Linked DNA regions of Rattus norvegicus. The protein of the gene in region 1 interacts with the protein of each later gene in a biochemical or structural test. Links are inferred from orthologs where the notes say so. Each region holds a gene or a part of one and is shown on either strand. Other genes may lie near its edges.

Evidence for each region.
Region 2: the proteins of Mc4r (region 1) and Pomc form a complex in vitro, tested with the Homo sapiens proteins (2 studies listed by BioGRID). The link is inferred for Rattus norvegicus from reciprocal best matches to the Homo sapiens genes MC4R and POMC.

Annotation. Positions count from the first base shown.
Region 1 is NC_086036.1:62,687,955-62,695,395, reverse strand, and holds Mc4r (melanocortin receptor 4), read left to right. Parts: upstream 1-3,710; 5' UTR 3,711-4,118; coding exon 4,119-5,117; 3' UTR 5,118-5,598; downstream 5,599-7,441.
Region 2 is NC_086024.1:32,655,639-32,663,678, forward strand, and holds the start of Pomc (pro-opiomelanocortin precursor), read left to right. Parts: upstream 1-3,714; 5' UTR 3,715-3,810; intron 3,811-6,793; exon of another isoform or gene 6,794-6,954; 5' UTR 6,955-6,973; coding exon 6,974-7,105; intron 7,106-8,040.

The sequences.
Region 1 (7,441 bases):
ATAGAATTCTACTCGGCTTCAAAACATGAAATATGCAGGCACATGGATGGACCTAGAAAACACATCCTGAGTGAAGTAACCCAGACCTAAAGGACATGCATGGAATGTACTTACACAGAGTGGGTATGCATGAATCTCAATCAGAAGGAGAAATAAAACAGTCATCAGAGTTGGATGGAGGAAGGGAACCGGGTGGAAGAGGAGAGGAGATGGGGGGGGGTGGGAGGAATAATCTGTAGGGAGAGCCAGGAAGAGAGGGCAGGGAGACTGAATAGAAATTGGGGGTGAGTTGGAGGTAATCTCTAGGATGGGCCAGAGACCTGGGATGGGGGAGGCTCCAGGGAGTCCATGAGGGTGACTCTAGCTGAGACTCCTAGCTGTGGGGATAATAGAGCCTGAAGCGTTTTGTTTGTTTTGTTTTGTTTTGTTGCAATAAAGTTTTCAAAAATATTCTCAGTGTTCGTGACATGGCTGGTTATATAGTTCTGGTTCACAGTATAAAGGAGAAACAGAATAAAATGTCTACTTAGAGGTAGGTAATCTTTTCAGCATGACTTACCATAAATCTACATTTATACTTAATAGATAAAAATGAGATTTTTATAGGTATTGGATTTTTATCAGATTTTCATTTGATCCTAATGTCCGAAACCAAAACCTTCTTCATGAAAACACAGAAAAGGGAGTATGCAGACACTTTGATACTAATGTGTACTTTACTGGTTTAAAATTTACATCATCTTATTTAAATTTTCATCCAAGTCTTTTTATTTCTTTATTTCTTGAATGAAAAGCTTTTTTTAAAGGTGTGGGAAAAACTACAAAATAGTTAGTCATTCATCTAGAAGTCTGTTACAGGGGATGGTTGATAGAGACTAATCTAATTTAATTATTTTAACATAAAAGGTAAGGATGAGAAATAATCTTAGTAAAAAATACTAAAGTAAGGACTAGTGAAAAAAATCCCTCACCAAGTAAATCCATACCACTAGCAACATGTGTTAACATTATAATATATACAACATGAGACAAATTAACTAATGTGCCAAGCAATTTCGGAAGAAGCCAGGAAACCACTAAATTACAAAAGTTTAAAAAGTGAACTTTGTGGCTTTTTAACCAGCTTGGTCTGTGTCCTTGAAAATCAATTGCCAGAAAGATACCAAAAAGCATCTCTTACCAGGAAGTTTAGAGGCAACCTGACTTGTAAGTCCTTAGAAACCTCTTAGACTCTTTACGGAGAAGCAACTCAGCTTACCTGAGTTGAACCCCCAAAGCCAGACTTCCAGGGCTTTTTCCTGACCCAGAATGTGCCCTCTAAGAATAGACTTTGCCCCCAGTGGCATTCCAAGCAACTGTTAATCTTATGGTTGCCTGACATGTTGGGTACAACTTAGAGAAAAGAGCTTAAAATTTTAAAGGCAAGTGAGGGAAGAGGGTCTCCATAGAGACAGATCAAATGAGCTCTGAGAATATAAAAAGTTGTGCTGCTTGTAGAGCTCTGCATAAGGTCTCGAAAGAGCTGAGAATGCCCTAAGTCCTCACCTCTGGTTGATTTCTCCTCTGTGCAAACAGAAGTAAGGGGAGGGAAGGCTGCCAAGGGAGGGGTTGTAGCACAGTGCCGGTTTGCTTCAACACACAAGACTGGGAGACTTCCTGTTTGTAGCTGCCTTAGTCCTTCACTCACTGACCAGTAAGGTCACAAATCAGATGATTTATTGGGCACACGAGACAGACCAGTGTAGACCTCCCTCTAAGTCACCGGTGAAGCAACAGCGGCAACCAACCACCGTAACGAAAAGCTTTCCGTAAGAGGTAAATATGGTTTTCAGAATAGCTGCGACATACCCATATGTCCAGTTCTGAACAAAAATGAAAAGAAGTAGGAAAGGAAATAAGAAGGTATGACTGGACATAGAGGGGAAAGTGGCCATTAAAAGTTATTCTTGGGAAAGCCTCTGTGTGCGAGAGTCTTTAAGCCAGTTATGACGAACACCTCCTATCACACCTATAGGAGTAACATTTCATCACAGGCGACTTCAGTAAAGCAATATAAACCTTCATGATGCTGGGGTAGCAAATGCTTTCTTCGCTGTGAAAAACCCAGACCTTCTGTGCCCCGAGAGGAAGGGCACAAGGGCAAGAGCTACTTAGAAAGATTATTCAGGTAACCACGTGATGCTTCTGTGGATTTCTTCTCTATCACTCATTCACGGGTTAGATAACTCCCCATGGGAGAAAGTGTGAAAGGGAAAACAAATACGTAAATCATCCTTCTTAAGGGCTCTAGGAAAGTGTCTGGAGGTGATTGCTGTCAGATGCTGTAACAGCTGAACCACTTGGGGGTTTACAATAGTCAAAGCTGTCCCTTGTTTCTAGGACATTGAGGGTAGTTGGTCAGCTCAAGACGGAAGGTATGCAGAGGGGGGCTCTTTTCTGTACAGTCACTTAGTAGGGGCTTCTATGCCATAAAGCTTCTAGAAACTCTGTAGTCATTTGCCAGACAGGAGAAAGAGCAGAATCAAGAGGAAGGTGGCCCAATGTGTACCAACTTCTGTACTGTCTATTAGCCAGAATTCAGTAGTAGGCTCTACTCAGTTCCAGAGTTGCATGGCAACCCTAATTTAGCACAGTGTTCTGAAGCAGTGGTTAGCATGGTCTCTAACACACACACACACACAGACACACACACACACACACACACACACACACACACACACACACACGCACGAACGCACACGAATGCACGCATGCACGGAACGGGGAGGGGGTAGGGTTGGGCGTTCAGAGCTAAGCGCCAATCTCTTCACAGCAGCAGGCATGAATGTGCACCCACTGGCCCTGGCCTGAGCAAACACACAGCCGAACTATGTATTCATAGTTTCAATGTGTGAAACTGTGGAAGAAAAGAAATTAAACAAAATTAAAAAAAACCAACAGAACTCTATCTTTCAAAAACAACCAACCAACGACAAAACCACCACAAAATCCTATCAACCAAACAATAGCAACAACAACCAAAAAAAAAATTTTTTTTCAGAATATTGTCACGTTGTTGATTTGTCTAAGTTCACAGTCAATAGGCTTTTATTAATGCCACTGGAACTTTTTAAATACTGTGAATACAAACTTTTCCAGCTGTTATAGCAGAAACTGCAAATGGACAAACAGCTACCAGCACGCCAGAAGTGAACCCAGTCTTCATCTCTGGCTGTGCCGTAGTTCCCCACAGCATACCCATCTGTCTAATTAAACCCTGCCTGCATTTCTAGTCTTTCAAACTGAACCTTCGCTCATTCAGTGGGGATCCTGGGCAGAGGGGCAGCGTCTGCGTCAGGAGCCAGGACAGAGTGCTTTTCATTTTTTTATCCGCGCGCGCATACTTGCAGCCCCGTCTCAAGGAGTGAGCCTGGCTGATCCTCGAGGATTTAAGGAGTATCACAGGATGTGCTCGAACAATCAAGTCATTTCTCTTAAAACTTGGAAAGGAAAATCCAGTGTCTTACAGGCTGCTTCCTTCCCACCCCAGCAGCCCTGGCCATTGAGCTGGGTGCTGCCCTGTAATCAATCTGGGCAAGATCGATGTCTCAGAACCACTGAGCCTGGATTGGTCAGAAGGAAGCAGAGGAGGAGCCATTCAGAACAGTTCCCCCACCTCCGTAGAACCTAAGAAATCAGCAGCCCGCACCAGGCTGCGCTGGCTCACGGGGATGCTCGGGAAGCTCAACTTCTGAGAGGCTGCGCTGTGAGTGTGGGCGCGCAGATGCAGACGCGGCTCCCAGCTCTCCAGCGACTCTCAGGAAAAGGACTCTGAAAAGACCCCGAGTGAATACTACGGCTAAAGGGAAAGCCACAAAAAACGAACTGCAGACTGGTCAGCCGAGAGTGAGCTTTCAGTAGCGCCAGCTTCTAAAGAAATGATGAGCAAAGCTGAACCCAGAAGAGACCAACAACTCCTTTGCAAGCTCCGCTGCTTCTGACCCTGTTCACCGCAGGCGCCAACTGCAGCCTCCCAACTTCTACAGGCAGACAGGCTGGGAGAAAAACCACTCGGGGCTTCCCTGACCTAGGAGGTTGGACCACTTCAAGGAGGATTCGAATCCAGCTGCTGCAGGAAGATGAACTCCACCCACCACCATGGCATGTATACTTCCCTCCACCTCTGGAACCGCAGCAGCCACGGGCTGCACGGCAATGCCAGCGAGTCTCTGGGGAAGGGGCACTCAGACGGAGGATGCTATGAGCAACTTTTTGTCTCCCCCGAGGTGTTTGTGACTCTGGGTGTCATAAGCCTGTTGGAGAACATTCTAGTGATCGTGGCGATAGCCAAGAACAAGAACCTGCACTCACCCATGTACTTTTTCATCTGTAGTCTGGCTGTGGCGGACATGCTGGTGAGCGTTTCGAACGGGTCAGAAACCATCGTCATCACCCTGCTAAACAGTACGGACACGGACGCCCAGAGCTTCACCGTGAATATTGATAATGTCATTGACTCTGTGATCTGTAGCTCCTTGCTCGCATCCATTTGCAGCCTGCTTTCCATTGCAGTGGACAGGTATTTCACTATCTTTTACGCGCTCCAGTACCATAACATTATGACGGTTAGGCGGGTCGGGATCATCATCAGTTGTATCTGGGCAGCTTGCACAGTATCGGGCGTTCTTTTTATCATTTACTCGGACAGCAGCGCTGTCATCATCTGCCTCATTACCATGTTCTTCACCATGCTGGTTCTCATGGCCTCTCTCTATGTCCACATGTTCCTGATGGCGAGGCTTCACATTAAGAGGATCGCTGTCCTCCCGGGCACGGGTACCATCCGTCAGGGTGCCAACATGAAGGGCGCAATTACCTTGACCATTCTGATTGGAGTGTTTGTTGTCTGCTGGGCCCCGTTTTTCCTCCATTTACTGTTCTACATCTCTTGTCCTCAGAATCCATACTGCGTGTGCTTCATGTCTCATTTTAACTTGTATCTCATACTGATCATGTGTAACGCTGTCATCGACCCTCTCATTTATGCCCTGCGGAGTCAAGAACTGAGGAAAACCTTCAAAGAGATCATCTGTTTCTACCCCCTGGGAGGCATCTGTGAGTTACCTGGCAGGTATTAAGTGGGGACAGAGTGCATACTAGGTAGAGACCTGCAGAATTTGTCACTCAGGCACAACCTGAGCAGTGTACTTCCCAACAGCTGCCTCTACTGTATAGTGCTTTGGTTGGAAAATATCTACTGTATAAAATGTAAGTTTATGACTTTTGACGTGGGGAAAAAGTCTCAACGTGTTATGTTTATTGACCTTACTTTTTTTGTGTGTAAACTGCTTATTTATGTTCTACAGCGTGGGCGCTATGGAGTTCCATAAAAGAAAAAGACACCCTTATTAAAACTTTGACAGTGTTTCTTTCCATGTTATTTATCAAGAGTCAACCCTTGTTCTTTCTGTGGTAGCAGAAATCAGAGCCTTCTGAAAAGCTGTTTCCATTGCATCACCCCCACAGCACAGCAGAAGCCTGATTCCACTGTTTATGGGGAAATATTTAAACACTGGATGCTCGATCATTTAATGAGTCAGCTCTACTCGTGAAATTTCAAGTAACTGAATAAATGCTTACCTATTATCCTTTCTGTTCAAATATACCGATGCTTCTTTTTAAATAAAAGGGAAAGGGGGGGGGAGAGAAGCAGCTACTGAGGAGAAGGTGAGATTTCAGACACATGCCTTTCCTCTCCAAGATGGAAAGATTCACTGCCCGAGACTCGGAGCTCACAGAGGCAACTCAGCTGGGGTAGAGGAAATGCCCACTATTAATGTAAACTGCCCATGCCATGCTGAAATTCCCTATGCCAAATGATGCCCCACTCTAAGTGTCCAAACAGAATGAATTCTTTCTGGCCTCTTACCAGGGATCCTGTTTCTACAGAAGCATCCAGAAGAGTTGCTTCTGGACCGAGAGGTCCAGCATTCATTTCATCTTAGAGTTGAGAATGAGTTATGTTATCTCTCATGTGGCGGGGACTTCTTGTTCCCTTTCTGATCATTTTTTGAGCTGGGCTCGAAGTGCTGAAGATCAAGCACTTTAATTCCCAAGCCAAATCCACATCACAAAACGTTTTGGGACAGCGCTTGTAAATATCTACCCATGTGGGACCCTGTGGTTCTTGCGCATAGTGAGAAGGTAAGAAGACACACATGGGGTCCGGGAAAGGACAATAAAACACTCTGGTGTTCTTAGTCACATCTTGGGATTGGGAATGCTTGTTTCATCCAAAATACTACCAAAGGTGTGGTCACCGAGCAACCAAATCTATGCTTTCTAGTCTGTGTATACTTTGAAATAGAAGAGATAAAGTCTACACTAAGCCTATGATTAGAGGCAAACTTTCCTGGGATTTAATTGATAGTGTCTCCAAATACCCATAGGCAGAGATAACGCCTAGCAGTACATTCAAATTAAAATGTAAATTTGTCACCTGTTCGTCCTAAGCCTGAGACGCACTGAGGGCATTCAGGAGCGAGTACATACCAAAGTGTAATGGTAAGGCCAACTGTTTGAAGGCACTAACCTCTGAGGCACACTGCCACTGCATTCATAAGATTAGCTGAGCATACAATCAGCTTGTGTGTTGACCTTTCTTCCCAGAAGGAAGAGGGTAGGGTGTGTCATTGGATCTTCTGTGTAGCCACTCATTCTTCCCAGCCATTCATTTGTGTGTAACTTGGACATAACAGAACTCAGGTGAGAAGAAAAGGGGGGAGAGGGTGCCACCTATGTAGCTGTGGGGAAGCTGTCATCCATGATGAGAGAAGACTGGCCAGTGTGACTGCTTTGTGGTCACATACACAATTGTGTCAGCAACCCTTCACCCATGCTCTTTAAGTAAGCCTAACAAACTCATTGGGTCTCCAGCATGAATGTTTCTGGAATCATATGTGGGTCTGTGAGTGGACCCATAGGAGGAAGGGGGAGATATCGTTCATGTTTCCCCTAAGGAAGTAATTTTCACAACAGCACCATTAACCAATGGTTCTAAGACTGGGTTTTAACCACACTACAGTGCTTCTATTTTAAACAAAAATGAGTGTCAGGTTTCTTATAATCAACAAAGCCTGCTGAAATTTGGATCTGGAATGTTCTTCTAAGGTTCATGCAGGAAAGACTTGCTCTCCATGGTGGTGCTACTGGGAAAGGGCAGAGTCTTTAGGTGACCGGACCTAATTGGAAGACTTCCAGTCCTTAGAGTGTATTCTTGAAGGGGACAGTGGGACTGTGGCTCATGCTCTTGCTCTCTGAGGCCATAAGATGAGTGCTTTGAGTCCAGCAGGAGCTGCTTCTCCATGAAGAGCTGCTTCACCACAGGGCCAGCACAATCAGGCTAGTCAGTCTTCTACTGTAAAACTCCAAGGCTAGCCAACTTGAACCTTTCACACTTTAT
Region 2 (8,040 bases), on another chromosome or scaffold:
AACTTAAATACTAAGAATTGCAAGATGCAATTAAGAAGAACCTTCTTAGAAAGACATTTATGGCCATATCTACATATGCAAAAAAATAGAGGTTCAATGTCAATGATATAAGTAAAAACAATTGCTTCCTGTCCGACTTGAGTAGAGAAAGATTAGCTAACCAAGCATGTAGAAAGTAGAAGGAAGTAACAATTAGTAGAAATTTCAAAAATACTTCTGAACAACACACATGCAGTAGACAGAATTAACAATACCAAAGATGACTATTGTAAAAATAAACTTATAAAATTGATATACATCTGTCTTAGTTAGGGTCTTATTGCTGTGACCAGACACCATGACCAATGTAAGTTTTATAAAGGACAACATTTAATTGGGGGTGGCTTACAGGTTCAGAGGTTCAGTCCATTATCATCAAGGCGGGAACATGGCAGCATCTAGATAAGCATGGTGCAGGAGGAGCTGAGTTCTACATCTTCTCCCAAAGGAAGCCAGGAACAGACTGAGCATCCTCAGGCAGCTAGGAGGAGAGTCTCCAAGCCCACCCCCACAGTGACACACTTCCTCCAACAAGGCCACACCTTCTAATAGCGCCACTCCCTGGGCCAAGCATATGCAAACCATCACAACATCCAAGAAAAGGAGAATATAAATTACTAATACCAGACAAGAAAGAGGCGCACAACCAGAGTCTTCAGATGCTAAGGACCTGATAAGAAGCTATAATTAGACTAGGGATATATCTCAAATGTGTGAAGCCCTGGGTTCAACCCCTAGTTCCACAAAAAACAAAAGACTCCCCCAAACAAACACAACAGAAATGGAAGCTATAACATGCCAATTTTTTTTTTTCCGGAGCTGGGGACCGAAACATGCCATTTTTTAAGCCAAAAACTTAAAGAATTTTTGTGAAGTGAATAAATTCCTGGAAAAAAAAAACACCTTATTCAAATTGGAACAAGAAGAAATAGACAACGGGAATAATATTAAGGAAGCAATTGAATCTTCAATTGCTAAATAAAAACTGTTCAGCAAGCCAGGTGGTGGAGGCAAATACCTTTAATCTCAGTACTTTGGAGTCAGAGGCAGGTGGATCTCTGTGAGTTCAAGGACAGCCTACTCAACAGAATGAGTTTCAGAACAACCAGGGCTACACAGAGAAACCCTGTCTCAGAACACCCCTTCCTCCCAAAAACATCTTTCCAATAAACAAAGCAGACATCTTAGAAGCCTGGAAGCCTTCATGTGCGAAGCACTTTTAACATTCAAGGAAGACATTATAGCACTGTCCTTGGCTGAGTTAAAACAAGGAGAGAGATTTCAGTTTGTCTTGTGAGAACAGTGCAAATTTGATACCAGATTTGACAAGAGCTTAAAAATAAAAAGGAAAATTAGAGGCCACACTCATGAAAGTAGAGGCAAAAGTCTTAATTAAAATGCTAGTTATATAAGAGACACTCATCATCGTTAAATTGTGCTTCTTTGAAAGCACAGTATGTTAAACGTTGGGAAAGCAATCAGCAGTGTCCTAAGAACTCGCTACAGTATTACACTAAATGAGGAAAACTGTATTGTTTGAGGCTTTCAGAGGCACCTACTCCAGGTTATCAAAGATGTTGATACAAAGGCAATGGAGACCTTTTCCTGGTGACACCCATGTTCAATGCCTGTGTGGTGACAGTATCTCCTGTGTCTTTTTGACCCTGGTTCTGCTCTGGTTTTCTTTTCTTTTTAAAATCTTTTATTTATTTTTTTAAAAAATATTTATTTTTATTTTATGCCCATTGGTGTTTTGCCTACATGTGTGAATGTATGGGAATGTCGAATCCTTGGATCTGGAGTTTAGACAGGTATGAGTTGCCATGTAGGTGTTGAGAATTGAACCCAGGACCTTTGGAAGAACAGCCAGTGCTCTTAACCACTGAACCCTCTCTCTCTAAGCCTTGGTTTTCTTTTCTCCTTTACTGAGTTTGGCCATGGGTCCAGCCACCCTTGTCTCCTGCCCTCCCCCACCTTTATGTCCTATAGCCCAACCAGTGTTTCCTAATGTGGTTTAACAGCTTTTCAAACTTTTCAGTTCATATTGGGCAAAGCAAGTTCTCCTATGTATAATTAGGAGTCCAGATGATAGTTAGGCCAACCCAAACCTACCTTGGTTTGACTCCAATGCAAGCAGCCTCCTAAAGTCACATCCATAAAGCAATGGACAAGACAAAGAGCACTGCCAAGCCTGGTGCTGGTTAGGGCAGAGGTGGATGGGAGGTCAGAGACAGAAGTGAATCAGTTCACGTATAATAAGCTACTGTACAGATGAGACAGGAAAGGGGTTCTCTGAAGAAAGGAGATCGTTTCTAAGGCTCCTGGTAGAAATAACCCAAAGTGGCTTAGTAAGAGCCAGGTGATACTGGAGAGCTAGACCGTCATAGGGATCTGAGTTACCTCATCGGAGGGACACAGGGTGCTCAGCTTCCAGGGAACACTCAGGGAGGTAGAGGCAGAAAGAAGCACTCACGGAATATGAGCATTGGGGTTAGCTGACGTCCAGGATATGAGTTGGACAGCAGGTAATCATCCCAGAAAGAGGTCAGAGCCATGTGACACAATCCTTATTCACCATTAGGGAGCTTGGTGCATTCTCTGGTGCCACAAAAGGAAAAGATTTTTGGAAGCAAAGTCGATACTGCCAATCAGAAAAGCTGAACTCTCAAGGGACCCCCTGGAGTCCCCCAAACAAAACAAAGCAAATAGACAAACAGACAGTGTCTAACTGGGGAGTGAAGTTCCTTCAACTGGTAGATTAAACAGGCACCGGGACTGGTCTGATCCAATCCTAGTCCCCCTGCCAGTCACAGCTCTCTTCACAGGCTTTGCTCTTTGGCACACAGGCCTGTTCTTTCTTCTGTTTTGCCCTGTGAGTTCCCAGCCAAGCCAGAACGCCTGGGCCTGGCCACACGGTGAAGGCTGTCAGACAATCCCCAGGCCATTCTGCCAACTCAGCCCCAGAATGGCTTCCACTTCCCTCCACAGAGTGCTGCACCTCCTGGTTAATAGTCTGAGGCTGGCAGGACCTTTCCCTTGGAGTTTGGGCATCAAAGGGCACCTGTCTTGGAATAAGTATTGGGGATGGAGACAGACTGTACAAACTCACTTGCACACACTCCCAAAGGTAGCCTGCCTTGGGCTGCCATGATTCTTGACAGCCTCTGTTGTCTCCCTTCTCGAAACGAAACAGAGATCTTGATTTCACAAGACTCCATACTTTCCCAACACTGGGGAAATCTGATGCGTAACAGACCCCCTCCTCATTAGTGATATTTACCTCCAAATGCCAGGAAGGCAGATGGACGCACACAGGTAATTCCACTCCATTCTGTAAGACCTCAGAACTAGGCCTGCCTCACACCAGGATGCTAAGCCTCTGTCCAGTCCTGAGTGGAGATCCAACAGCATCCTTAATTAAGTTCCTCCTGACCACCGGGGCCAGGTGTGCGCTTCAGCGGGTCTGTGCTAACGCCAGCCTCCGCACTTTCCAGGCACATCTGCTGTGCGCGCAGCCCCGACCGGGAAGCCCCCCCTCCCGCGGCCCGCCGCCCCCCTTCGCGTGGCCGGGGATTCGCTTGTTGCGTTGCAGAAGCGCTGCCAGGAAGGTCACGTCCAAGGCTCACCCACCCAACCCTGCAGGTATAAAAGAAGAGAGAAGAGTGACAGGGACCAAACGGGAGGCGACGGAGGAGAAAAGAGGTTAAGGAGCAGTGACTAAGAGAGGCCACTGAACATCTTCGTCCTCAGAGAGCTGCCTTTCCGCGACAGGTAAGGGTGTCTCGGCTCCTGACGGCTCTCCTACGCTGAGCTCTGTCCCCGGACCCTGGGATCCCCAGCAGGCGGTAATGCAGACTGGCGTTCTGGCTTGTAGCGGACCTGACCTCTTCGCAAACTTTCTGAGACGTGAGAGAGCTGAGCCCGGACGATGGGTTGGCAGACTGCATTGCTCCAGAGAGCAGGTCTGTGGCAATTCCAAAGACCGCCAGCGTCGGGGTCCCAGGGTCCGCATGGAGGAATGAAGCACTGGGAGGCTTAGGATTGTCTTAGACTCCGACTGGCCCCTGGGGAGATCTTGGGAGAGTTCCCCCTTAGGTTTCTCCTCCCTATTGTTTGGACTTTTATATATCTTCTTTAAGGCAAGAGACCATATATACTGAGCACACGTTGGAAAGATAGCGGGAAAGAAGGGCGAGCCACAATAAACTCCTAATAGTGGAGTTCACTTGTTATTGCTGTAGAGATCAAAACCCTCGCCTCCCTGCGCACCTTAGCAGACCTGATGTGGTTGCGTTGCGATAATTGTGTGGGTTATAGGAAAGGACGGTAAGTAAGTGGGCTCTTCTTTCCAAAATCCAGCTCAGATTAAAAACAGGGTGTGGGGCGGGAACTGTCCAAGGTCCTGAACCACTCCATCTAGTTTCGAAAACCTTTAAAAAACCGTGGGGGCGGTGCAGCAAGTTGTAAGGACCCAGACTCAGGCAGAGGACATTTCAAATGGAGAGAAAGATCCCCCAAGTTCTCCGTGCGTAAACCAGGGGAAGCTCTCACAGGATGGCTGGAAGGAGTCGAGTGAAACGAAGAAAAGTTTGTCAGTTTATGAAATATGCACAGACTAACGCCTTGTTTCCTGTGGTATTGTGGAAATTGAAGCATACGCACCGTGTATGGATGAAATCGCATCTTTGTGCCTCTGAGCTTTATAGACAGGTTATCGGAGTCACTTTGAGAGCAGAAAATATAAGGCTCTTCTGAGTTCAGAGAATTTTCTGGGGCCCTAATAAGTGTAGTTCTATCGAAATGAATAAATCGTAATCTTCTGTCTTCCAGAGCTGTTAATGACTGGAACCCGGCACTCTCTAACCTATAAAAAGCACAGCATTTGACATTTCCCCCAATACTTTTGATTTTTCAAAAAAAAAATTGACACAAATAAGGCGTTTGTTTCATTGTGGAAAAAAGGGGGACATACAAATAAAAAGCTGGGGAGCTCTGGGAGTGGGGATGAGAATTTCAGCACACAATAGGTGGACTAGGAAGAGAGGGCACGATTTTGAGGGCCTGAAATCGTGACTGTCTCTTCTTCAAAGATAGACCTCATTCCATGGTACCCAGCTTTCAAGACAATGGAAACTTAGTTGAGAAGTCTATCAGACTTGCATGATCTTATTTTTCTTTACTAATACGTTTTTCATGCTATTTACCATTTTTTCCCACCTTCCTATCTGGGGGGACTTTGTGATCTCAGCATTTTGAGCTAATTGGCTGCTTGTCTGAACCTGAGCCCCAGCAAGGGCAACAAGTTTGCTTCTGGTCTGAGGTGTGGCCCACACAGCTCAAATGACTGCTAGCGTCTACTAATGGTAGTTCTGAAAAACAAAACAAAACAAATCAAATCAAAACAAAACAAAACAAAAAAACCAAAAAACAAAAACCACTCAAAGCTTGCAGGAAAAACCAGCTCTTGAAGACTGGCACAGGGTGGAGCAGAGAGGGGAGATTCTTGAAAGCTTTCATTTCCAAATCCTCCCTTTCAAAAATAAAGGCTTTTCTCCTGTCTCTCTAAATGAGATTTATTTTCTGCCATATTCTTCTTAAAATGCAAATGTTCACCAGACAATTAAGCCATTTACATATTTTTAATTCTTAAATTTTTTTTGTTTTTTTGTTTTTTTTCAAGACAGGGTATTTCTGTGTAAACTTAGCTGTTCTGGAATTTTCTCTGTAGGCCAGGCTGGCTTTGAACTCAGAGATCCTCCCGCTTCTGCCTCCTGGGTGCTGGGATTAAAGGTATGAGCCACCACTGCCTGGGTATTTACATTTCACTCTGACTAACTTTTCTAATTAAAGGTCTTCCTAATGGCTGGTAATCTGAAACCCAGAATGAGTGTAGAGTTGGTGGGGAGCTGATTACAGACTATGGTGACTTTAGGGATCCTTGGGTGATGGGGAACAGGTGTAACAAGCTAAGAAGCTAGCAGTGCTAGGGAAATGCTGGACGCCAGGGAGCCAAGGCACCGTGGTTGCTCTCTTCTGCCTGTTGGTGCCACATCTGCCCAGAGATGCTTTGCATTTCTTGACAGTATCTTAGTGGCTCTTCACTTCAGGGGCAGCTTCTTCACTGTGGAGGCAGCTTCCTTTCTGGTCTTCTGCCCGTCTCTCTGCCCTCAGTATTGACATCCTCTTCAAGGTCATGTATTTCAGACAAGACTTACATGTGTGGTCTGTATGTTTAGAAAACAGGGAAGTTTTAAAGGAAGTGGAATCTGCCTTAGAAAGAAATCTTCCCAAAGTTACTAGGATCTGGGAAATAACAATCACCAGGAGATTTGTGTATACAATATCAAATATTGATTAAGTGGAAGGGTTTTATTTGCCTGTATTGAAACCTACCTTTCATCGGAAGTGATCAAATTTTAGGTGAGAGGAACCAAGGCAGGACTTTCTCAATCCTTTGTCTTTAGTTATTCCCACCCTTTGGATATGGAGTGTTAACTGCAGCTTTTTCCAGGCAGTGAATTTAGAAGCCATCTGGGAATACAGGGAAGCTTACTTTTACTGCATCATGAGCACAAAAGAAATGATCTTTTGGGGTCATCAGCTTTCCCACCTCCCAAATGAGGGGCCGGACCAAGTGATATCCTAGATAGCCTCACCTCTGATTTTTTTTAAAAGTCTGATTTTAACAGGAAACAGAGAGGGAAACTGCCTGTAGTTTGTGTTGAGCCCTCTTTTCCTACCCCTCCTATGACAGCCACACGCATCTCCCATCTTCTGAGCCCTGCTCCTGTCCTCAGAAAGCCTTGGACTGTAAAGGTGAGAGCTGTTAGTGTTGGCTCAGAGTCCTTTCCTGGTCACTGGCCAGCATTGTTCTGCTCCTTGCAGGGGTCCCTCCAATCTTGTTTGCCTCTGCAGAGCCTCAGCCACCTGGAAGATGCCGAGATTCTGCTACAGTCGCTCAGGGGCCCTGCTGCTGGCCCTCCTGCTTCAGACCTCCATAGACGTGTGGAGCTGGTGCCTGGAGAGCAGCCAGTGCCAGGACCTCACCACGGAAAGCAACCTGCTGGTATGTGGGCCACGGACACCACTGTGGCTTGGGTGGAAGATGGCACCGGGATTAGAACAGATGGAAAGGAAGAGGGCTGTGGGAAGGGGTGACAGGGAAATTCATCTCCGTTAATTGGAGTGACTCGGAGCAGCAACAGAACTCTTTCTGTAAGGTTGGAATTAGGCAAAGGTGAGAAGGAGGTGGCTTCAGAGAAAGGGGTCTGGTTCATAATTTCTGCTCCATTATTCTCACCCACTCATTCTGTTTCTGGTGAGGAATCCTCACAGAAACTGAGTATACACAATGCCATATTAGCCAGGAGTGCTCCTTTAGTTGGTCCCGTATTTCAACCCTTTGGCTCCCAAATCAACCTCCCTTTAAATAGTGGAAACCTGCAAGTGCACTTCATATTTCTTCCCTCTTTATTTTCTCTCAGTTACAAAGCCAGTTACTAGTCGGGTATTTCCATATAACACCTCCAGAGGGAGAAGGAAAGACCAAAGTCCCCCCCCCCAAAGAAAAAAAACCCAAAAAACTGATGCCAAATATCTCACACTGCTTCTAGAAGGCAGGATTCCAGCCAAGTTCTTTTCCAGTCTTTCCTGCAGAAGCGTGTAAAGCTGTCAGGGGCAGGCTAGGGCCCCTTACACATCACCATGTGCATGCACATGCATGCACACAAGTGTCGGGTGCCTGCTACTACATCCTGTTCGATGTATCAACGGACAGCTGAGGCTAGGTGATGGAAGAGACCTTCTCAAGACATAAGAACAAGGTTCATGTACTTTAGACTCAGAAGGCCCAAGGAACCCTGGGTGATCCAGTTCAGAAACTGCCAAGGCTGTTGATTTGCATAGCCTCTCCTGAGATCTCACCAGGAAAGGGGTTGGTGTAGGAGATAAACAAGGTCAGAGTCCTCGGGTGACACCTCACACTTCTGACACCACTGAGTC